Arabidopsis thaliana: one gene and its partners. The protein of the gene in region 2 purifies or fractionates together with the protein of the main gene of each other region. This does not show direct contact. Each region holds a gene or a part of one and is shown on either strand. Other genes may lie near its edges. The genes, in order: AT1G42440, E2F3, ACC1 and ABCE2.

Region 1 (6,950 bases), on a different chromosome or scaffold from region 2:
ACTCACCGTCAATTCATGTTGACGTGGATTGTTACGTGGCCAGAGACTCCAAAACGACGTCATTCGGAGTGAAATGAGATGCCAAATTTTCCGCATAAACCATCCGATGCAAAACAAGCCTAAAAACAATCACCAAGTACCTTAAACCCAACAAAGAACCTAAAATCTAAAACAAGCCTAAAAACAATCAGCAATCTATTTATGCGGAAACGACGTCGTTTATGCGGAAAATTTGGCATCTCATTTCACTCCAAACGACGTCGTTTTGGAGTCTTTGGGCACGTCACAATCCATGTCAACATGAATTGACGGTGGGTTAACAATGTTAAGCATTTTCCACGTTTTTTATATATTTTAGTTTGTATATTTCAGGTTTGCAATTTGAATTTTATGAAAGTGAGAGTTTGTTTTAGTACATTTAATAGATACTTGTACGATACTTTTTTAGTTGACCAAAAAAAATAAAAATTAGATACTTGTATGAATTCAACACAGCTTATATGTCGGGCTATGAAAAAGACGATATTCCCATATATGAGGCAGATTAATCAAATATAGGTAGCTTATTGTGAGCAAGCAAGCAATGTCTTTAATAAGAACAAGCTCAATCTATTTAAGTATTTTTCTCATAACAATTAAGCTTATCAATGGTTCAACCCCATATTCCAAATGTATATGTATAGTGAGCAATAAAGAAGAAAATTTGCATATTTTTATCACATACAGGACAAAACTGGAGGACTTCCACTAAACCACCACCATAAATTACCAAAGAAGAATGTCGTCAATTCAGAGAAACTTGAACATCATCATCTTCATTTAAAAAATTCGAATCAGAGAAGCTGTGGGTACAGACGTTCAGGCCACTTGGGATAAGCGCGCTTGTACAAGTTCATGCACACTACGTCATGTTGTTGAACCACTCCATTGAATATGCATTTCATTGCCCCTGCACAGCTCACATGTATAAGGAAAATTCCAGAAACAAAACTCTAGCTTGGCAATCTCTTCTATTAATACTAATGCCTTACCATGTGTGCCTACTGGTTCCTTCACGCGACCACGACGCCCGCATTTTGACCATACTTCAACAGGCTGCACACACAAACATTGTGCCAGCTTTAGCTTAACATAAAAATTAATACGTATATTATTCAATCCATCGATTCTATTTTTCTCTTTTACCTTGAACCATTTCACGTCTTCGGGGTTGTGGAACATATATCTGACTGAAGCTTTCATTTTCGATACTCTCTGAGGGTACCTGAACCAAACCACATTTCAAACAGCTTAGAATTACTACAGATTATGTTTTTTATCTCCCCAGTTCAAATGTCAGAGCATTAGTATCTATCCAAACTGGAATATGTGATTGTATTTGGAATGAGGTCATTACCCAGTTAATATTATCTTCTTTAAGATTATTTTGTTGGGTTCTACGCTTTTCAAGGAACCAAGGGCAGCAATGGCAGGAGGATCCGACCCTTCAGAAATCTTCAGAACTACCAAAGGAAGGGGTGGGAAAGATATGGGGCCGTATATTGAAGCCAACGAGAAACACCCTGGATGCAGGAATCTCTCCATCTTGTGCTTGTCTGAGCTGAAATTGTCGGTCGCAAATACCGGCCTGGAAATTCCCACGACAAAAATTACAAAAGATCGCAAACAAGAAAACCTACTAAAGTAGATAAAGCAGAAAAAATTTGCTACCTTGCAATGAATTGACGGAAACCAACATGGAACATTAGCTCTTCTTTTGTTTTAATAGGAGCTTCGTAACCATCATACTTCTTTACGCTGCAAAACATAGACAAAGGTGATGAGAAGAGGGCAGAGCACTCAAGGTCTCAACAAACAGATATCTTAAGAGTGATTACCTAAAATGCAGAACCGACATCTTGGATTCATGCTGCAGAAGCCCAAATCCTATAATTGGTTTCGTTGTGTTCACAAGAGAAGATAGTTTAGAGGCAGCACCAAGAGGCACTTCTTTAATATGCAGCCGTACATATGACCCAATTGGTACACAATCATCTCTGTCTTCTTCTTCCATCTTCAGGGCTTGCTTGAGCACAAGCTTTTGAGTCCTTGCGACATTATCAAAAGCAAAAATTCTAGCATAGTCCTGAGGTAAAGACTCCTGCATTTGCCAATAAATTATAAAAAATTAGCAACACTTAACTGTGAAAAATATAATGAAATTCACATCAAGATCAGTGTTATTACATTTGGATCCCACGAGGAGGTTCTGAAGGATTTAAGACCCCTGTACTTTGCAAAACGTCTTCTTGCAGGAACATCAATGGGAGTCTCTACTTCATCTGGAAATTCTGACAAAACATAAAAGAAAATTTTAATGAGTAAAAACAGAAAAGACAAAATCAATTAGCACATGAGAGATACAGAAACTCTACAAGGACTCAAATGAATATTTGCATTTATACACACAGACACACAATGACTCATACAGAACATAACTCCACACAGAGGAAATAAACACCAACCTTCGTCATCAGCATATGCCTCTTTGATTTTCTTGATTTCATCCTTAATTTGTTCTTCTGTCAAGTCTTCATCGTCCTGAACAATGAGCAAGTTGGCTTATAACATTACCAAGATAGTCGACGAGAACAAAAAATGCAATGAAGCTACAAGTACTGTTTTGTAAGTCATAAAAGTAGGTGGACAGAAATGTATACCACCATTTCGGATTCATTCTGAGTTTCAGTATCAATATCCCGCAGGTTCAATGATTTTCCGTCATCCTCAAATTCTTGGTCATACATTCCTTCTTGATTGGAATCCTCTCCTCTATCCAATACCATACCATTATCATCAGAATCACCATTATCGGAATCCTCTTCATCTGTTTCATCCACAATCCAAGCAGCCTGTAAAACAAATCATAAAACCCAAAATAAGAGGGCCACCCGCTTATAACATTTATTTTTGAGGAAAATTGCACAAGACAGAAGAATAGTTAAAATGAGGCTAGAAACATCAGGTTAAAAATAATCCAGGAACCTGATATTCTGAAGTCCCTCGCGGCAAAGTCTTCTTCTTTAGCCTGCCCTGCTTCTGATTTTTGTCAGCCTCAGCCATTTCTTCCTCTGTTGGCCATGTCTACACAAAGGAAGAATTGCACAAGTGACTTCCCAGAACAGATAACAACACGAGCCAACTGCCACCTTCATTTTTTAGAGAACTAATCAGACTTACCTGTTCCCCTGCTAAAGGATCTGGAGTGTTTTCAATTACTAAAGGCTCTTGTTTCATGGGATCAGGAACCAGAGACTTCAATACCTGGTCAAATCAAACACAGGTACAAAAAATAAAGTGAATTTACAAAGAGAAGAAAGCTGTGAAAATAGCATTATGAAAGCAAAATAACATCCTATTTTAAGAATGAAATTAAGTGTAAAATGATATTATGACAGCATTCCAACAAACTATATAACCTCTTTTCCTATAACTATATCTGAAGGATTCAACTTAATGTATCTTTTCTAAAGTAATAGTTTGTTGATTTGTAAAGAAAATATTATATATAATATACCTCTTCATCATGTGAATCATCTAATTCCATGGAATTCTGATTTTTCCTTTCATTCAAAGGAAATGGATCCTTCAGCACTTCAATTTTGGAGAATTGAAAATCCCCAACGCCAGAAACATGGACCTAATTTGAGAAAATAAATTAACAAGGGATCCATGGGTATAGCACAAGGCATGATATAGATAGCAGAATGGCTTGATTACCAGTTGATTTACAGACAGTTTGCGAGCACGCAAGTAACCAGAGAGAAGTAGAGTGCACTTTCCTGAGCTTTCATCATCCACCAGCATCCCAGCCTAAATGCACCATTCAACATTACAGAGATATTCTACTTTCTATAAAACCCTTTTCTTCTCAGAGTCAGATTAAATGTAATGAACTTATATAAGCATAAATCACACACCTTGCGAGCCACAATGTATGATCGTTGACTTCGCCAGTGAGGCACAGTAAGCCTTTGCGCCTTGAATAACCACATAAACTGCAAACAAGCCCAGAAATGTTCTACTAATTAAGAACATTAAAACTATTGAAAACCACTCAGTAAAATAATATAAAAAATTATCAGTCATAAACATTTACCTTATGCAACTCATCTCTGGTATCTGCTGGATAAAACTTACAATCCTCAGGAAATTCAGAAGCAAGTTGAGAGGCACACATCTTTTTCATCTCATTTTTCTTTTTCACATCACTGGGCAAATCCTGCAATCATACAAAACGAACTTGTTAAGCTCAACTTCAAGCAAAATTTCAAGAAATCAGAAACCTGGTCGCTACTAATATAGAGCAGAAAGAACTTACACGGATCAACACAGTAGTGCTTGGTAGACCAATTGATCTAAACACAGAAAGACACTGACTTCCGAAAGAATCTATGAAGTTAGAGCTATTCTCTTCCCACGGAGCACTTGCAGATGCAACAAAAGCCATCAAATCAGCAACCTAATACCAGTACCAAAAAAAATCAGTAAACACCTATAACAAACTCTGCTCACTGAAAGAACCAACAAACGAATACAAGACAATTCACATACCTTGGCCATTTCCATACATGTCAGAAGATCCCCATGAGGCGCCTTTAACACCTGTAATATATATAGTCACAACATTGATCACACAAATATTCATATATCTATATAAACAAATCTTAGGAATACACATACAGTTGCTCGTAGCTTATACTCAGAAGATGCAACTGTCGAAGAAGCAATTCCAGAACCATCAGAAGATAACAACTTCAAAACATCTTCACCAAGTGAATTCAATTCCACAGAAGCAGAGAGAGGAAACAAAACCTATCATCATTAGAAAATATCATAAGTGGAACATTGCAACAAACAAACACACAAACATGTAAAAACTCACGATAACACGAGGAGCACTGTTAATTCCTCCTGATGCTCTCTTCTCCTTCAAAACTGCTGCTCTCTTCTGCTCTCTAAGCATCTTACCACGTTGAACACGAGCAGCTTTAGCTCCTTTAACATAGTTACTATCCGATTTCCCAATCCGGCCACTATCTGATTCCATTCAAACGCGATTTTCAGTATGTGGAGATTGAAAGAGATGAATTGTTGAGGATTTAGGGGGTTTACCTTGAAGGTTGGTTCTATGGAGATTACGAGAAGATTTAGAGGAGAAACGAGTCTTGTGAGCTTTGTTAACTTGAACTCGAGAGCGTCCCATGGCTTCAGCAAGAGATGGTGGCTGGATTTGGTGACTGCTTTAAAGTATAAACCCTAATTTCAATTTTGCAGTTTTATTTCCTCAAGGGTTTTGTGTAGTTTGTCTTCAGACTACTTGTTTTTGTTCGACGGCTCAAAGACAAAAGTGGAAGAAGACGAAGAATTACAAAATATGTGGGCCTAACTTCACAAATAAAAATGAAGTTTATGGGCCCATTAGCCCAATATGAATGAGTATTTGTGACTTAAAATGATATTTTGCTACACATGCTTGGGGCCTAAAACTTTACCAATAAAATGCAGTTTATGGGCCTATCAGCCCAATATAAATTACTATTTGTGCTTAAAATGATATCATTTGCATGCTTAAAGCATCATTATTGGTAAGTTCTTAGATTAGTTCTTGGGATTTTTTTTTGTCTTTTATATAAATGTCATTTTGTCTCTTATATAAGAGTTAAAATGAGATGTTCTTATCATAAGAACTAATTTAAGAACTTACCAATAAGGATGTTCTTAGGGCCTTAATTATTAATATTCCTTTTTTCGGCAATATAACGTTTTGTCTTTTTTCAACTTTTACCTAATTTTAAAGAGTTTTTTTTTGTTTTTTTTTGTTTTTTTTTGGTTTTTTTAAGGTTTTTTAATTTAACCTTAAAAGTCATTTTCGTATACAAAGACAAAGAAAAACAGAAATTTTAGTGGAAAAACAAATGATATGATGAATGAAAAATTTGAAAGTTTACAAAGTTTTTTTTTGTTTTTTGTTTTTTTGAGGTTTTTGTTTTAACTTTAAAAGTCATTTTCTATACCAAAAAATAAAAACAAAATTTTAATAGAAAATAAATGATTTGAATGAATGAAAATTTTGAAAAATTACAAAAATTAGGACTAAAATTAGGTTGGAAAGGTAAAAAAGGAAAAAAATTTATAAATTCATATTATTATATCAAATTTGGCTCACAATCGTGACACGTGTTATCAATCAATTGATATGTGTCACATACAAAAACAACAACAACGGGATTGAATGTGATGTCAAAAGCGCAGAATTAAGTTTTAGGGCTAACTCTAAAACGAATCTCTTTTAATGAGTCCCCCCATCGCATATATTAGAGCTAGCTTTTCTCTTTTTATATTTTGTAAGTTAAATTCCCAACAATTGACATGTACCCGTACACTAAACTGTCTGTCCATCACATTAACTTTCACGAATTTATTATTGTAAAGATGGGAATTGACATGTAGCATTTTTTCTCCTTCTTAATTATGAGAAATCGGAACCAGATGCTCTTTTAGTTGTTTAGTTTTGGTAAAACGGTGGCGTGGTGTTGGAATGATAAAGATCAGATGAGTATGAGTGATCATGATTACTTTGAGTGGGTCGTGAAAAGCTTGATGATTTATTAATATATATAGATATTTGTGTGTTATTTGTTTTACAAAAAGAGGTTTATACTGTTGTTTTAGCATATGTTAGTACAAGTTTTTAAAGCCAATACCTTTTTCTTAATTTATAATGTGTGCCATTCTAAAAGGAGTCACATATAATATTTGAGACTGAAGAAAAAAAAGTTCTAGATCCAAAAACAATAAACTGATATATGTATATTCATCTTTCTATAAAACATTGTGCAATCACTACAAAAAAGGGTCATTTTATATCATTTATTTTGAATATTTGTATTACTTATAATTGATGTAAA
Region 2 (5,800 bases):
AGATGGACAATGATCCTCCATCACCGCGCGCTCCAAGACCGCTGAACAAATCACTATCTGCGTTGCGATCGCTAGAGAAGCAAACAAGCAGAGGGAGGAAGTGGCCGCCACCAACACCACCACCAACACCAGGCCGAGACTCCGCCGGAACATTTAACGGTGATGATGGAGTCAACATTCCTGATACAATTCCGGGATCACCCCTCACTGATGCTCGAGCTAAGCTGCGACGTTCTAACTCCAGAACTCAGCCAGCGGCATAGTAACGCAAACGTACATATACGTGACTCGACAAAGAAACCCTTTTCGTTTGTTTAAAGATATATAGGGAAAGAAAAGTGAATGAAAGTTTTGAATTGAAACAAAACAGATTTTTTTTTTTTTTTCATGTTTTCTGTAAATTGAAGCAGTAAGTATTAATACAGCGAGAATATTTGTGTTTGTTTTCGTTTAAACTTCCCGCTTTAATCCGGATATTGATTTGAGTTTGGATTTCTTCATATAGCTGATTATAAAGATGCATTTGAGTGGTCAAAAATATTATAATCAAATAGTGTACCAATGCAGCCGATGAAGTACATTCTCTGTTAAACTTACATTAGTTTCTCGGTGCTCCTCTACAACATCACTCTAGGCGATAAATGAATCATAATCTAATGGTACATTGTATGGAACGCACCTGCCATTGGTTCATACACGTTCTGTAGTTGCTCCCTCCTTGTATATGATTTTAGGGAGTGTTGTGAGGTAACACATTTGGGATCAGAAGTTGAGAAGTGTGCTTGGTATTCGATCATCTCGGGGTTGAGTCAACAGCTGTTGGTGCTATTTCGCCCATTCCTGGTGGTGGAGTACTCACGTCGGCTATTCCATAATCCCAATCGATACCAGCTTTTGCTAGAGTTAAGGATTGCGTATTTATATCTTATGCAGATAGATATAGTTAACTATAAGAGAGAAACAAATTGCATATATGCAAAGGATACAGTCAGTTTTCCAAATATCCGTCATGCTAATCTCAGCATTTGAGAGAAGCCAGTAGTCCGACTCATCATTCTGCAAAATACAAGACCAATATCAAACAACAATTATGAGGGTAGATTTTGAGTCAGGTTAATTAGTTTCTCTGCACAACTTCCTATTTCTATGTTCATTATAAAAATAAGCAGGAAGATGGCTTACTTCAACATCAGAGGGAGTAATCTTAAGCATTCCTCCTACTTGCTCTTGCAAATAATTAAGATCAGAGGTATCGCCGGGTTGAGGATGAGGATGATCATGAGACACAATAGCAGTTTCTGGGTTGTCAACAGTTAAGGCTTCGATGTCATGGTGTCCTGTAGATCCTGAGCTAGAAGCAATAGGCAAGCATGCTGGTGGTGCTGCACCACTCCCATTTGTGTCTTCGAATTTCCCTTCAAATTCGCTGAACATGAAGACAAAGTAAAAGCATGTAAACGGGACAATGAATGTTCCAAATCATAGAAATCTTTGTTTTGATACGTTCAATTATATGTATACCATCATCAGTAGAGTATATGAAGTCACGGAAAATGCCAATAACAATGTTTCTATTATTTGAAGCCAACGCATAAATACCTGACGAGGTATACGTCAATAGGTCCCATTGTACTTCTAAGAATGATCCTGTATCTCCTTTGTGGGTGGTCAGCCGCCTGTCAAGTAAAGAAGAAACATTATAATAACGTTTTGGAATCTAACAAAGAATGGCAGATGTCATCCAAGGTCGCTGAAAAAGACTAACTTCATCTGGATCAGGCACTTCCAAAGTTGTGCCATGAGGAGCTTTGACGGCTATCAGAGTCTGGTTCTGCAGAAACAGCAAAGAGAGAGTTAAGATATAAGTGAACAAGAAAGTCTTGGGATCGACATACATACAATCAATTGATCAAATTCCTAGGATTAAACATATGAAATAGGAAAGACAGACCTGGAAACCTGGTAAACTCTTGATATCCTCTTCAGTTACAAAAAGCCATCTGGACAATGTGAACGGATTGGTTAAGTGTCCATCATATAAATAGCACCATCTCATAGCCAGAACAAACTAGCCATACGAAAAGATAGATAGACAGAGATTTATACTTCTGATTCTTTTCATTTTCGCTCAGGTCTCTTAATCTTTCCTCTGTTTGTCTGAATAAAAGTTGTTAAAGCGTCAGCATTGGTTAAATAGATTAATCACAATAACCCAAAACTCTTTAAATGAATGCTTACCTGATTTGGTTGTCTAATGCTTGCTCTTCGAGGGCGAGGTTTTCAATTTCTGCCTGCAGCTACAAAACAAGAACATTAATCAAAGGAAGCGAGAACTACATGATATTTTAAGATTTACATGCACAATGACTTTTGAGTGTATGCTGTTTCACTACACCTGTAATACAGATACGTCAGCATCCTCATCGCCAGGACACGCATCAACTCCCCTAATCAAGTTTATTGATCATCAAGTGAGTTTACATGTAGTTAAATGCTTTCAGTAATATCCCAATGAAGCAGGATATGCTTTCAGTACAAAATACATAAGCATACTATATCATAAAAATCCTCACTTCCAAAGTATTCGATTCTTGAAAGGCTTTTCAATGAGATCTATCCCCTCCAAAACGTTTGTAATATCATATATACGTCGTTTCTGCACCTCCAATGTTTCTGCAGCTTTGTTTAGGTCCAGCATTCCATCTTTGGCTTGTTTAATTAGATTGACGAACTTTTTTGTAAGGAGACCTGAACAGCTTTTATGTCAGCATCTTCATATACACTATAACATGTATCGAATATTAAATATATATGTGAAAAGTTGTTAATTACCTAAAGAACTGTCATAACGACAACTTCCTGATGGAGTAAGTGTGATAGGAGAACCTGCAAGTTGACCAGGAAAGTAATCAGCTCTTCGACTTACTTGTTACTCTAGACATGAAAGATATTTCATAAAAGGATCTAACTATATAGAAAGGCCAAAAGGGGTAGAGAGTCAAGAATACAATTCTTCTTACCAGCGTTTGTCGAGATGGGTGTTTGAGGAGTTGACTTGTTTCCTTTGGCCTTTGACTTGATGTTGACTCTGCCCCCTTTTCTAGGAGTTTGACAGGGACTGCTAGGTATGTTAGTGAAACCAGAACTCGTGAATCCATTATTAGATGGAGCAACAACCATATCCATTGTCGCCTTTCTCTTTCGTGACTGCATATAAACAAGTTGTTATTAGCTTAAAGAAGTTGGTCAAAGAAATATCATCCAAAAGGTTTTAAAGCATCCACACACAAATTATCTATATCATTCCTCATAAACTTTCACAACATTGGGATCTACTTGAAACATTATACATTAACAAACAATGTCAAGCTTCATACACCAATACTTTGATATCAATAAGCTAATGCTCAACACTATGTGAACATTCAACACCTCACGCAACAATCAGAGCCAATTTGGCATGGCAATTGGAGAAATTGATGTCTGATTTGCGTCAATTGGGTGTAATTGAAACGCAGTGTTATGAGCAAAATGTACCATCGCGAAGCTAAACAAACGACAAAAATTGACACGAATCGACGATAATCTAACGCTGCGAAGCTTTTGAATCAGACTTAGAAGCAACAAGTAGCAATCGAAATCCCCAAAACATCCTCGAATTTCTAAACCAATCTCACTGGGGAAAATCTCTAAATCGAAGAATCAAAAGCACCCAAAACTCACAGGAGATCTAACAACGACAGCATCTTCCTCCCGATCTACAACACCACAACCATGAACGAAGCTCCTGTCGTTATTATTACTGAGCGAAGAAGGGTTAAATCGATGGTAATCATCGGAAGGATGAAACGGAGGTTTTGTTGAGGCGAAAGCTAAGTGACGACGTATAGGTGGTATAACCGGCGTAGATGTAACCGGAACCGGAGATGACGGTGGATGGTGCGGCGGCGGCGGTGGCGGCTGAGAAGAACCGGGAGAAGATCGTACGACACCGGACATGGATCGTAGTGAAGCGAGAGTCGAATTTGAAGATTCCGATGACGGGAAAAGCGACGGCGAGTGAAGGAAACAAGGGTTTTAGTGAGAGAAAGAGGAAGAAGAAAAGAAAAGGAGAGAGCAGAAAACGAGGGAAGGAGGGAATTTTATGTTGGGATAGATGTGGAGGGAAGCCTATAGCAATAATAAATAAAATGTTAAGGAAATAAATATATACTTTTTTTTCTTTCTATTTGTGCCCCGGGATTTTGTATTTAGTTTTAGATTGACCCTACTTACTTTAGGGAAATTACTTTTTGTGCCTTTTAGTAACGGGAATATTGAGATTCTTTTCTGTTCTTTATAATGGTGAAGAAGAGGAGATCATGCATATATATTTTTGATCTAGAACTTGTTTTTTGAATCTGAAATTTTTATTTAAATGTGTGTAGTCGGTAAACAGATTTCTGCAAATAGATTGGGATAGAGTTTGTTTATAGTACATGTGCTGCTGTTTCCGTTATGATATGTGTAATAATATTTTTATTTTTATTTTTTATCCTTTTGTATTGATTAGTGGTTGTTGTATCATGTATGGCAGTGGAAAAACTGATGCGAAGTGTAGATTAAGTCTAAAGTCACTTGATGAAGGATTCATAATTCAATTCAGTATTTGGAGGACTATAATATTGCACATGATTGATGTCATTAATTAGTATTAACGACAAATGAGTGATAGAAAATAGTTAGAAAGGGTAAATAGAAATTGGTAAAGACCTAGATTGGCAAAGTTTTCGTACCGCTTTTTTCTTGTCCTGCGCCGTTAGCTTATTACAGGTCACAAGAAAAATGGTTCACTTAGAGAGTGTGAGGCATTGTTGTATTGTAGTACCTTAAGTTCATTCATGTTCATTACGAGTGTACCCCATTTGAGCCGAGAGAATGTAAAGTCGTTATCAAGTTGAAGCCCAATAAAAACGGATTTAAGGCCCAAAAAAAGAAGGAGAACGGAAACAGAGAATCCGATCATAGACCACTGGCATTTCACGAACCATCAAAGGGACTAAAAGCTCTAGAACCAATTCTCCCTGTTAAGACTTAAGACCAATAACTAAACCGTTACGCTAATCAGTTCACACATTCATCATCTTGCCTCCAATTGTAGAATCACAATTCTCTGCAAATCGCAACTCTACACGGTTTCTGGACTTACATACACTTGATTTCTCGTTCACTAACAATAACTAGACCGAAATACATCGGAATCGTGAATTGTAAATGAACATTCTTTCTCTTATCAAGATTTAACTCACCATCCCTGTGTGTGTCTCAAAATGTAGGCAGAGGCTGGTTTCTTCATTCATTGAGTTCTTCATCATCATTCATTACAAAAATGTACCTAAAAACAAAGCAAACCCCATCAATTCTCACCAATTCTCCAACTCCATTAAACAAAAAAACAACAACAAAAAGCAAGAAACTCTCACTCACTTGCTTCCATGTTCTCCTAGCACACAAAACTCTATAAATCAAGAATCTTTTTGTACAGTAACAAGGCGAGAGGTCTTCAATGGCGGAGAAGAATCACAACATACCTCCAATGTATCTCTAAAACCAGCTTCATTAGTCTTCAACATCACCGGCAATGGAAACCTCACACCTTTCGCAGCACAAGCTTCATGTCTCGGTTTAATCCGATTCTCCAAACTAAACGAGAAATACTGAGGAAACTCAAGAACCTCTCTAACATCTCTCCCCATCTCCACCATCAAATACTTCAACTTCGGCTCATAATTCTCAGCAATACTGTAATTAAACAGCTGCG
Region 3 (4,832 bases), on a different chromosome or scaffold from region 2:
GAAATTAAAGAGAAACAGACAGTACATTATTCGTGTGCATGGATAAAGAAGAGGAACCGCTGCCTGTAAGAAATAAGGACGTAGATTATACCAGGGATTTGCCAGAGAGGAATTCCCATCCCCACAGCAACTTGGGCAGCAGGAAGATTTATCTCGGCAATCCACTCAGTGACAGGATGCTCAACCTGACCTCAAACATCAAGTTAAACAAGTCATTCAATTTTCAAGTCCGGACCTTCAATATATTTCAACGCAAAAAGCTGCAGTATGAAACCAACCTGTAAGCGAGGGTTAAGCTCTAAGAAGTAGTACTCCCCAGTGTCCATACTGTAGAGATACTCAACAGTAGCAGCTCCAACATAGTTAACACTCTTAGCCAACCTTCTAGCTGCTTGTTCAAGTTTCTTGACAGTTTCTGGCGGAGCCACAGTAATTGGACCCTCCTCTATGATCTACGATACAAACGATAAAGTAAGAGCTCATGCAATAATTTGCAATCGCTAAAAGGGACTATAACTCAGTTGGAGAACAAAAATTGATGTATATAACTATATAAGAATAAATGGACAGAATGTTTTTCTATATAACCACTAACCAGACAATTAAAAATCCAGAATCAACCACTAACAAACCTTTTGATGTCTTCTCTGGACGCTACAATCACGGCTATGCAGAGCTGAAACATTTCCATGCTTGTCACAGAGCAGCTGGACCTCTAGATGCCGACTCTATACAAAAAAAAAATTAGAAAAAATGAAATGTAAAGAAAAGCAATGCATTACTACTTTAAATTCTCTAGTAAAGTAACCAGATAAGAACTCAGCTAAGCTTCGATCAAGAGATATAGTTAAGCAGCCATACCTGTGACGCAACCTTCATTATGAATATTGGTGAGCCTGGGACCTCACCCTGAACTTGCTTGAATAGAGCCCTAACCTCATCATCATTATGAACCTATAAATTTAAAACCAGAATAAGTACTTATATAGTAATCGGCTTAGTCCACAATCAAAAGGCATATCTACAGAAGCTGACCTTCCTGATTCCTTTACCACCACCACCCCACGATGCTTTGATCATTGCTGGGTAACCGACAACTTGACAGCTAGCAATCGCTTCTTCAGTTGTGTAGACACATGCTTGCCGGTAGATCTCCTCTGGGATGGTTACCAAGTTGCTATTAGGAGGTATTTTAACCTGAAAACATAGGAATTCAGTATATAAAAATGAAAATATATACCTCTGGTACACAAGCTAAGCTTAACAAGAGTAAATTTACTTACATGGGAACCACTCCATGGCAGAGTGGGTACATCAGCAGCTTGTGCAATCAACGAAGAACCAATCTTATCTCCCAGTGCTGCCATTGAAGATGCTGGAGGACCAAGAAATATGATTCCTTTTGCATCTAGGGCATCAGGTAATTCGGGGTTTTCAGATGCATGACCCCAACCAGGCCAAACTGCATCCACGCGTGTTACTTCAGCCATCTGCACACAGGTTGTAGACAAAGATGTTCAGATGAATGAAAAATAACTCCAAAGACCAAAACTTCATTGCTGAAATTGAGCTTAATACATGTGTTCTGTACAGTAAAACACGATAATTCAGATAATAGTAGTTCCCAAAAGTTGGATTCACCTCCACAATCAGCTGAACGTTAGCATAATTGTTATTGTTGGTTCCTCCGGGAACCTCAACAAACTGATCAGCGATTCTGATATGCTCCGCATTGATCCGCATGTCTTCAGGGGTTGCCATCCCCACCAACAATATGGCTTTTTCCGTACCAAATGTTTCATAAGCCCATGTTCTGACACTACGTATAAACTTCACAGCCGCCATTCCATTGTTAGCTATCAAAATACTATGGATCGGCCTTTTCCCTCTAAGTGCTTTACAGAACTCATCCACTTGAGACACCGTCTCATAATTTATACCAGGTCCTACAGCACTATGATTCCCGTTAACCGAGCCAGCCATTGTCACTGCCCTTTAAGCTTCAGATATATCTACAAAACAGCCATAAACACATACTGAATCACTTTACAAAGAAACTGATGCTATCTACCAAAATGACTTGAAAGAACATAACAGGAATATTAAAACAATTCCTAATCTGGTTGCTTAATCTAACAAACAAAGATGCTTCAGATTACAAGGTGGAATTAACAAAGATGACAGCAATGCTTTTGCGTAATCACATGAAGAAAAAAAGAGTATAGAAAAAGCAAAACGCAATCATAAGCAAAGATCTTGCAAGTAAGAAAGCATCATTACCCAATAATAATGAGTTCCTTTAGAAATCTGAGAGATCTCAGAACTAATGATTATAAACTCCCCAAACCCACTAAAATTCTACAATATTGAAGTCGAAAACTCAACAAAACCCAACTTCAACAACAAGTTAAAATCACAAAAACAAGTGCAAAATTCTCATTGCTAAACCATAAAAATCAAAACTTTAAAACACCCAAATAACAAAAACTCAACAAAACCCAACTCCAACAACAAGTAAAAAATCACAAAAACAAGTCCAAATTCCGATTGCTAAACCATAAAAATCAAAACTTTAAAACACCCAAATAACAAAATCAGCAAAAGCAGAAAACTTTAAACCTTGTAAGGAAGCAGAGATACAAATTGGCTTAAAGAGGCATCAGAGAAGGCCAGAATTGTGGGTGTTTAGCTAAAGAATAACAGAGAGGAGGACATGGAAGAGAATGAGGGAGAGAGAAAGGGTTTTAAGAGAGGGAAGAGAGAAGAGGGTAGGTTGGAGTTAGAAGAGGAGAAGGAAAGTGGGGTCAGAAGAGTTAATAATGGGAGATGATGAAGAGAGGAAGAAGATGAAGGAGAAGAAGAGAAGAGAGAGCACGTGGTCTCTGCCTCCGCCACACTCCACACCTCCATTGTTTTTTTTCGATCCCTTTTTGTTAGGAGGCGCCGTACTTGTTCCTCAGCTACCTCATTTCATCCCCCCACTCTTGTTTTTTCCGCTATATTATTTCCCAATGCTTCTCATTGTAGTATTATACAAAGTTTTATTTCAAGTTTTATTTCCAGTTTTAGAACCAAGTTTTTTTATTTACCAAAACAAAAAAAAAATTGAATACTGTAGAAATTTTATATGGAATTTGTGATTTTTTATAGACATCAAAACAATTTTTATTTCAGAGAGAAGATCTAGAGAATATGACAAGATTTAATCGATAAAACTTCGGTTTTTCGGTCATTTTCGAAGATTTCAATAATTTTTGCCAGTTTATTTTGCAGAAAAAAATATTTTTTATGTTGGCATATATAGTTTACAGAGATATATTATGTTATCAATTGTTTTTTGAATTTAGTTGCTAAATTTAGATGGATAATCTTCTAACCCGAACAAATCTATTGCATAGTATTATTATACAAAGTTTTATTTCAAGTTTTGGAAAAAAAAAAATTTTAACCAAACCAAAAATATATGATTACAGGAAATTTTATATGGAATTTGTGATTTTTTATAGACATCAGAATAATTTTTAATTTCAGAGAAAATCTAGAGAATATGATTAGATTTAATCGATAAAACTTAGGTTTTTCGGTTATCTCCGGAGATTTCAATATTTTTTGCCAGTTTAGTTTTTGGCATATATAATTTACCAATAGTTTCTTGAATTTAATTGCCAAATTTAAGTGGATAATCTTCAAACCCAAACAAATCTTTTGCATAGTTTTTCTAGGTTATATTTAAATTAATATATACCATTCTTAATGCTTTATATAAGATACATTTAACTTGTTGGAAACTTTTTTCTCAATATATTCGCAGGCCAAATCAAGAAATATTATTCCTTTACCATCTTTAGATTTATGTTCTCTTTAGCTAACTTCAATTTATGGTTATATACTTATGTTTTGTTCTTGTGTATATTTAAGACTATTAGAAAGTATCAAGAAAATGCTGATTTGAGTTTATTTCATAATTTTCTTATTTAAAAGTTTACTACATTTAGTTTACTACATAACTATCTCTTTTACATTTGTATCCGAACAAAGCAAATGATAGCAAAACATAGATTTGTGCCGAATAAAAGAAGAATGGTATAAATTTGTTAAGCAATGAAAGATATCTATTTTAAAATAGTATTAGGTAAGCCATGAAGAAGACAATAAATTTCTACCGTCTGTGTTAAATGAACTTCAAATACGTCACAAGAGGCCATAGCAAATGGATCGCATTGTATGAGATTTATTATTTCGTTTATTTGGTCGGTCTGTTTCCGTTTTAAAGAAAATATTTATTATTGTCTTAGGAATGTGTAATATAATAGATTAAAGCCAAGAGGAATTGTATTTGTGTACGTTGAGTCGTTGACACAAGGTTGGGTGGTTTAGGTTACCAACATTTTATTTTCCTCTTGCTTGTAAATTATGTGTTTCAAATGTTTTAATGTTTTGTTTCTCATTTAGTAGAACGTATATTGGACCAAGATCTAGATTAGTGTTGCACCCAAGTTCAAGTTAGTCATGTAAAATCAATTCATAGATTTTTACCAATTCTTCATCTATCTACCTCATACGCATGAGGTGGTCATCTCACAATAATATGCATGGCCATGTTAAGCTAAGGATAATAAAAACTTTTACCACATTCTAGACTATATCGTATATGTTAGTGTCTCAGATATGCTTTTACTTTATTTATCACGACTATAATTCATAAAAGCATATTGTATTGCAAACCATTCATATTTATAAAATCATTTATATGTTTCACCAAAAATCATTAATATACAGAAATCATCATTCATCACAACTCTTTGTCGATGGTTTTATATAAGAGGTATAAT
Region 4 (6,337 bases), on a different chromosome or scaffold from region 2:
CCAGCTGGAGGCTACCCACCTGCCGGATATCCTCCTGGTGCTTACCCTGCTGCGCCCGGTGGTTATCCTCCTGCACCTGGAGGTTACCCTCCTGCTGGCTATCCTGCACCTGGAGCTCACCATTCAGGTATGCATTGTCTCGTTAAAGAGCTCTTCTTTGTAGTTTTGGTAAATGTTGATGTTTTCTATGCAAAAGCTATGGAGTGTCCTTGTAGCTTGCTTGGATTATCAACCTGCTAAATATTGTTAATCATTGAATGTTAATAGGAAAAGACTTTATAAATGTTTCGGTTTTCTATGAAAAAAGCTAAAGATTGTGCGTGAAGTTTGCTGGATCATTAACCTTCGAACTTTGAATGATAATAGAACAATAGTTTGTAAATCTTACTGTTTTCTTTGTAAATAAAGCTTAGAACTGGCCTTGTTGTTTGCTGGATTATCAGCCTGCTAAGTATTGTCAAGTTTGAATGATAGTATGACAATTGTTTCTGAAATGTTGTTTTTTTTTCTGTGATAAAAAGATGAGGACATATAAACTTACTGTCTTCTGTTTTGGTGTATACATTGATGTTTTAATTTTAAATCTACTAGGAGTACATGTTTAATCGTGTGTGCTTATCAATATGCAACTTTGTGGTCTCTTATATGCATTCTGCTACTTTGTGGTTCTCCATGTAATACTATTTTCTTTTTTCCATCAGGACATTCTGGTGGTGGACTCGGAGGCATGATAGCAGGTGCAGCTGGTGCAGCCGCAGCAGCTTATGGAGCTCACCATGTTGGTCACGCCTCTCACAACCCTTACGGGCATGCTGTAGGACATGGAGGGTATGGCCATGCCCCTGCTCATGGCTTTGGCCATGGTGGTCATGGTAAATTCAAGCACGGAAAGCATGGAGGCAAATTCAAGCACGGAAAGCATGGAAAGCACGGGAAACATGGCATGTTTGGAGGAGGAGGCAAATTCAAGAAGTGGAAGTAATCTCAAAAACCCCACCTTTGATCCTCTCCTCCAGTATAGTCTCATTACCTGACCGATGTTTCTAATAATCCCCCTTCAAACATATTTCATTTTAACTATGTCGGTTTAGAGATTACTGGTTGAGGAAATAATTGGAGAGTGCTAGTATAAACCTTATGGTATCTGCAGCAGAGGTTTCTTTAATCTCTCAATAGTAGATGCTTTGAAACTTATCTATAATTTGGTATTGTAATGACAGTTTGTGTTTGGTTTTTTCTTCAGTATCTTCTTTGTTTGATCATTTGATGTTGGTGGAGTTCTCCAAAATATTTATGCTATTGTAGATCCTAACCTTTCTATCTTGTTATTCTTCGTTTTTTGGCCATTATTTTCGTTTCGCTCCCGATCCAAATTCCAAAGTACTTCAACAATATCTTATGCAATAACGAGACAAACACTTAAGGTCGTGCAAGAATAGTGTCTGTTTTTCACTGATTCACTTTTACAGAGAACAAACTGAATTAATTTTGATTATTGAATAGTTGACATGCAATAATATTTGTTAATCCAAATGAATAGATAAAAAAAAAAATTCCTTGAGAGTAAAGAAACTAAATTTTGGAAGACAATTTTTAACTAGTTTTCTCTAAAACTAGGAAAGTCAGAAAATGAGAAAACAAATTTGATTTTATTACGGAAGTGAAGGGCTTTCCGACAAATTGCTTTGCTCAGACCAAACTGTAACCGACCCAAGCCCAATAAAAAAGCGAATCGGGTCAAACGAAAACAGATAATTCAGAAAACCCTAAATTCGTTTCTCTTTTTTTTTCTTCATTCTGAGCAAAGCAGTAACTCTCAGGTGCGTGTGCTCTCCGCTGGTTCCTTAGAACAATCGGCACACGCTTTTTCATTTCAATCTTCTTCTTCTACTCTTAAGTATCTCAGGTACTAATCTCGATTTCTCTATTTCTCGTCCATGGAGATTTAGATTTCAAGTCAGATGCTTTTCGATTTGTTACAGATGTATAATTTTTGTAATCGATTGATTCGCAGCTTGGATTGTATTGAGCCATCGACATACCTTCAAAATTCTTATAATTGTATTGAAAGTGTTTGAATTTAATGTTTTTTTTTTTCTTTCTCTCGATTGTTTTGATTTCTGGGCAAGTGTCAACTTTTGTAACAGATTAGTGACCTTTCTCTTTATAGATATGTGGAAGAATTTGGAATTTACAAATTCGGTTCACCATTTTTATCTGAAGCACTGAATTTGCGTTTTTCAAGCTTGAGTGAATATTATTTCTTGGCTCTTAAGATTTTGCATGTCAACTATTATTTCATCATTGTTAGCATCTTGTGGTGTTCAAGTTATTATTTTAAATATTGTTTGTGCTACTCTATAGTTATTCCCTATGTTGTTATTTCGTTCCTTTGCCTTAGCGTGACATCTTTATTTGGTATATTTGTATCTGTGTGATTTAGTTTCTTCAGGCTGTTAAACTATAGATTTCATGTATTTTGTAGGTCTGTTGAGAGATGGCAGATCGATTGACACGTATTGCTATTGTGAGTTCAGACCGTTGCAAGCCAAAGAAATGTCGCCAAGAGTGCAAGAAGAGTTGTCCTGTGGTCAAGACAGGTGTATATTTTTATTCCAAATTTGGATCTGTGGTCTTTCATGTGGATTTATTATTATTGTACTGTAATTGATTAGCTTTGTTATGTGCGTCATGCCAATTAGTAGACAGAGAATGGTTAGGTGTTTATGTGAAGCCATTAGCTTATAGTTCCTACTTGAAGTTGTTGTAACTCTACAAATTTTTAGTGCCACTTGTTCATTAACTTGCCTTTTATCTTAGGAAAACTTTGTATTGAGGTGACTGTTGGTTCCAAGCTTGCTTTTATCTCAGAGGAGTTGTGTATCGGTTGCGGTATTTGTGTGAAGGTATGTATGCATAGGCTCTTTCCGATATCCAAGATGCCTCTAGAAATGGCACCTAAACTGGGATGCTAAATGACTCTGTTGTTACACAATTGCAGAAATGCCCGTTTGAAGCTATTCAGATTATCAATCTTCCAAGAGACTTGGAGAAAGATACGACCCATCGTTATGGGGCAAACACTTTTAAGTTACACAGGTTCGTTTATCTACTATTTTTCCTGAAACAAATTGACCGCTCTTGTAGTTTTCAGACAATGAAATCTTTGTCTTTACTTCCAGGCTCCCAGTTCCAAGACCAGGGCAGGTGCTAGGGTTGGTTGGAACCAATGGTATTGGAAAATCAACTGCTCTGAAAATTTTGGCTGGAAAGCTCAAACCAAATTTGGGCCGTTTCACTGTAATAGCCTCTCTTGAGTTTCTAAACTTTTATCTTCGAAATTTGGTCTCTTTCATAGTTGATGTGTTCATATATTCCTTGTTGAACAGAGTCCTCCAGACTGGCAAGAAATCTTGACTCACTTCCGTGGTTCAGAACTTCAAAACTACTTCACACGTATTCTAGAAGATAATCTTAAGGTACAGTTGAAACTGATATTAATATTTTTCTCCATGAGGTAGCTAGGTATTATTTGATGTTTAAGCAGCTCAATTGAGCAAGTTCTGATACCCTGTGCATGGCAGGCCATTATAAAGCCTCAATATGTCGACCACATCCCAAGAGCAGTTAAAGGCAATGTTGGAGAGGTCCTTGACCAGAAGGATGAGAGAGATAAGAAGGCAGAGCTCTGTGCTGATCTGGAGCTGAACCAGGTCATTGACCGTGATGTTGAGAATTTATCTGGTGGTGAGCTGCAGAGGTTTGCAATCGCTGTTGTTGCCATACAAAATGCAGAGATTTACATGTTTGATGAACCATCTAGTTACCTCGATGTTAAGCAAAGACTCAAAGCTGCTCAAGTTGTTCGTTCTCTCCTGAGGCCTAATAGGTTTGAATTTCCCAGCTTCTGAAGTTTTTTTTTCAAAAGGGATAAAAAATAAGGTACTTACATTGTTTTTTTTTTGTTTTTTTTTTGTTTCCCAGCTACGTCATTGTTGTGGAGCATGATCTCAGTGTTCTTGATTACTTGTCGGATTTCATTTGCTGTCTGTATGGGAAACCAGGAGCCTATGGTGTGGTGACTCTCCCCTTCTCTGTCAGAGAAGGAATCAACATTTTCTTGGCTGGATTTGTTCCTACAGAAAATTTACGTTTTAGAGATGAATCTTTGACCTTCAAGGTATAGATATTTTGTATGATGAAAGGCAAAGTTTTGTCGCCAAGGCAATAAATTGTTTTCCTCAATGTTTTTCTTTTGTTTGAAGGTTGCTGAGACTCCACAAGAAAGTGCTGAAGAGATACAGTCGTACGCTAGGTACAAATACCCCACGATGACCAAAACTCAAGGAAACTTCAGGTTGAGAGTGTCGGAAGGTGAATTCACTGACTCTCAGATTATTGTAATGCTTGGGGAGAATGGTACAGGGAAGACAACATTTATTCGGATGCTGGTATTCTCTTCTTCCATGATATGTTCTCTTGTGGTTAGAGTTTTAGAAAGTACTGTACTGTAAAGTTGTAATATTGGTAATATTTGCAGGCCGGGTTGTTGAAACCAGACGACACAGAAGGACCAGACAGAGAGATACCAGAATTCAATGTTTCGTATAAGCCACAAAAGATCAGCCCAAAGTTTCAGAATTCAGTTAGGCACCTGCTACATCAAAAGATTCGAGATTCTTACATGCATCCACAATTTATGTCGGATGTGATGAAACCACTTCAGATTGAGCAGTTGATGGATCAAGAAGTTGTCAATCTCTCAGGAGGAGAATTGCAAAGGGTTGCATTAACTCTGTGCCTCGGAAAGGTAATTATTTTGTTTCAGACGTCTATATGACGTAGTTGCTTTCTTTCTCTCAGTGATCTCATGCATCCACAATGTGAATTCTTACAGCCTGCGGATATATACCTGATCGATGAGCCAAGTGCATATCTCGATTCTGAGCAACGTATTGTTGCTTCTAAAGTCATAAAGCGATTTATTCTCCACGCAAAGAAAACTGCATTTGTAGTCGAGCATGACTTTATAATGGCGACCTATTTGGCAGACCGGGTCATTGTGTATGAAGGACAACCATCCATTGATTGTACTGCAAATTGTCCTCAATCACTGCTCAGTGGAATGAATCTCTTCTTATCTGTAAGTCTCCTATTATATCTCTTAGTTACACCGTATGGGCAAGAGAAGAGGGCATAAAGGTTTGGTGCTAATGATTCCTATTTTATGTTTTTCGTTACCATGCAGCATCTGAACATCACATTCAGACGGGATCCCACCAATTTCAGACCAAGAATCAACAAATTGGAGTCGACCAAAGACAGGGAACAGAAGTCTGCAGGCTCATACTACTACTTGGATGATTAGGACAACTACCAAGAGGTTCTTGATCACTAAAATCCAATCATGTTTTCTCAATCATACAACGTTTTATGGAATCAACATCTAAAATGTTTGTTTTCTCTTAATGTCCTTCAATGGATTCACAGAATATAGGGCATTGTTCGAATTCCAGAAGGGTCTTTTGCTCAGAGGAAGTTGATCTATGAGCTCGGAATATTTTACGCAGCCATCTGTTTTCCGAGTGCATAAGCACAGATGTTTCTTTCTGGTCAAGCTTTTAATTGTTGTTTCATCAGTTTTACTTCTACATTTTCTCTCTCACAGCTTTTATTAACTGAGCAATAAAAGTTTAAGAATCTGTAACCTTTTTTTCTTTTTGGCTTTGTACTTCCTGAGTTGATGATTTCAACATTTACTGTGATGTTACTACTTTGGATTTTACAATCTATTGCCTATTTTTACATTATTTTCTTTCTTCTTACACAGCGTCTAACTCACTGATATAGGAAAACTTCAAGAAACAGTATCTAAACACCTAACGTCAATAACACTGTAACCAGGAAGCTTTTTCAAGGCATTATCCTCCACCATCTTCCGTAGTCTTACAGCTTCTTCCCAACCTCCCAATCCAACATAAGTATTTGCCAACGAGATGTAATAAGATGCATTGTCTGGTTCCATTTCAAACAAAACTTCTGCAACTTCTTTTCCCAACTTTGTATCCCCATGATAGTTGCAAGCGCTCAACAACGCTCCCCATACACCTGCTTTTTGTGGCTCACCAATCCCTGTGATGAACTCATAAGCTTCTCTCAGTTTCCCTGCCCGGCCAAGCATGTCAACAATCCAAACCCGATGCTCAGTAACTGGTTTAACCCCAAATTTTTCCTCCATTTGCTTGTAATAACTTAGACCTTCATCAATAAACCCAGAGTGGCTGCAAGCTGACAACAGGCTTATGAAACTGCTCTTGTTTGGTTCCATCTCTGAGTT

The links.
Region 1: the proteins of E2F3 (region 2) and AT1G42440 purify together in Arabidopsis thaliana (affinity purification with mass spectrometry, with the first as the bait; one large-scale study listed by BioGRID). This does not show direct contact.
Region 3: the proteins of E2F3 (region 2) and ACC1 purify together in Arabidopsis thaliana (affinity purification with mass spectrometry, with the first as the bait; one large-scale study listed by BioGRID). This does not show direct contact.
Region 4: the proteins of E2F3 (region 2) and ABCE2 purify together in Arabidopsis thaliana (affinity purification with mass spectrometry, with the first as the bait; one large-scale study listed by BioGRID). This does not show direct contact.

What each region holds. Positions count from the first base shown.
Region 1 is NC_003070.9:15,894,695-15,901,644, forward strand, and holds AT1G42440 (pre-rRNA-processing TSR1-like protein), read right to left. Parts: upstream 5,412-6,950; 5' UTR 5,246-5,411; coding exon 5,155-5,245; intron 5,080-5,154; coding exon 4,925-5,079; intron 4,855-4,924; coding exon 4,723-4,854; intron 4,645-4,722; coding exon 4,594-4,644; intron 4,502-4,593; coding exon 4,361-4,501; intron 4,262-4,360; coding exon 4,139-4,261; intron 4,038-4,138; coding exon 3,960-4,037; intron 3,853-3,959; coding exon 3,760-3,852; intron 3,680-3,759; coding exon 3,557-3,679; intron 3,304-3,556; coding exon 3,220-3,303; intron 3,124-3,219; coding exon 3,025-3,123; intron 2,892-3,024; coding exon 2,700-2,891; intron 2,581-2,699; coding exon 2,505-2,580; intron 2,331-2,504; coding exon 2,227-2,330; intron 2,141-2,226; coding exon 1,878-2,140; intron 1,798-1,877; coding exon 1,711-1,797; intron 1,628-1,710; coding exon 1,397-1,627; intron 1,265-1,396; coding exon 1,186-1,264; intron 1,096-1,185; coding exon 1,032-1,095; intron 950-1,031; and 3 more.
Region 2 is NC_003071.7:15,117,887-15,123,686, reverse strand, and holds E2F3 (E2F transcription factor 3), read right to left. Parts: upstream 4,099-5,800; 5' UTR 4,000-4,098; coding exon 3,724-3,999; intron 3,688-3,723; coding exon 3,538-3,687; intron 3,208-3,537; coding exon 3,021-3,207; intron 2,969-3,020; coding exon 2,927-2,968; intron 2,887-2,926; coding exon of another isoform or gene 2,833-2,886; intron 2,749-2,832; coding exon 2,574-2,748; intron 2,448-2,573; coding exon 2,396-2,447; intron 2,298-2,395; coding exon 2,239-2,297; intron 2,158-2,238; coding exon of another isoform or gene 2,107-2,157; intron 2,001-2,106; coding exon 1,952-2,000; intron 1,832-1,951; coding exon 1,766-1,831; intron 1,677-1,765; coding exon 1,600-1,676; intron 1,427-1,599; coding exon 1,183-1,426; intron 1,057-1,182; coding exon 987-1,056; intron 892-986; coding exon 794-891; 3' UTR 503-793; downstream 1-502. Other genes in the region: HVA22J (HVA22-like protein J), read left to right, coding at 1-263; EMB3114 (Mitochondrial transcription termination factor family protein), read right to left, coding at 5,505-5,800. UniProt on the Arabidopsis thaliana protein: Transcription activator that binds DNA cooperatively with DP proteins through the E2 recognition site, 5'-TTTC[CG]CGC-3' found in the promoter region of a number of genes whose products are involved in cell cycle regulation or in DNA replication.
Region 3 is NC_003070.9:13,531,347-13,536,178, reverse strand, and holds the start of ACC1 (acetyl-CoA carboxylase 1), read right to left. Parts: upstream 3,012-4,832; 5' UTR 2,620-3,011; exon of another isoform or gene 2,281-2,619; intron 2,013-2,280; 5' UTR 1,984-2,012; coding exon 1,642-1,983; intron 1,491-1,641; coding exon 1,284-1,490; intron 1,198-1,283; coding exon 1,036-1,197; intron 955-1,035; coding exon 862-954; intron 729-861; coding exon 633-728; intron 453-632; coding exon 279-452; intron 186-278; coding exon 92-185; intron 1-91. UniProt on the Arabidopsis thaliana protein: Multifunctional enzyme that catalyzes the carboxylation of acetyl-CoA, forming malonyl-CoA, which is used in the plastid for fatty acid synthesis and in the cytosol in various biosynthetic pathways including fatty acid elongation.
Region 4 is NC_003075.7:10,499,409-10,505,745, forward strand, and holds ABCE2 (RNAse l inhibitor protein 2), read left to right. Parts: upstream 1-1,714; 5' UTR 1,715-1,906; intron 1,907-2,485; 5' UTR 2,486-2,497; coding exon 2,498-2,600; intron 2,601-2,820; coding exon 2,821-2,906; intron 2,907-3,001; coding exon 3,002-3,099; intron 3,100-3,182; coding exon 3,183-3,300; intron 3,301-3,389; coding exon 3,390-3,479; intron 3,480-3,584; coding exon 3,585-3,889; intron 3,890-3,984; coding exon 3,985-4,180; intron 4,181-4,265; coding exon 4,266-4,451; intron 4,452-4,540; coding exon 4,541-4,810; intron 4,811-4,897; coding exon 4,898-5,143; intron 5,144-5,248; coding exon 5,249-5,368; 3' UTR 5,369-5,383; intron 5,384-5,490; 3' UTR 5,491-5,809; downstream 5,810-6,337. Other genes in the region: AT4G19200 (proline-rich family protein), read left to right, coding at 1-127, 702-982; AT4G19220 (Tetratricopeptide repeat (TPR)-like superfamily protein), read right to left, coding at 5,858-6,337.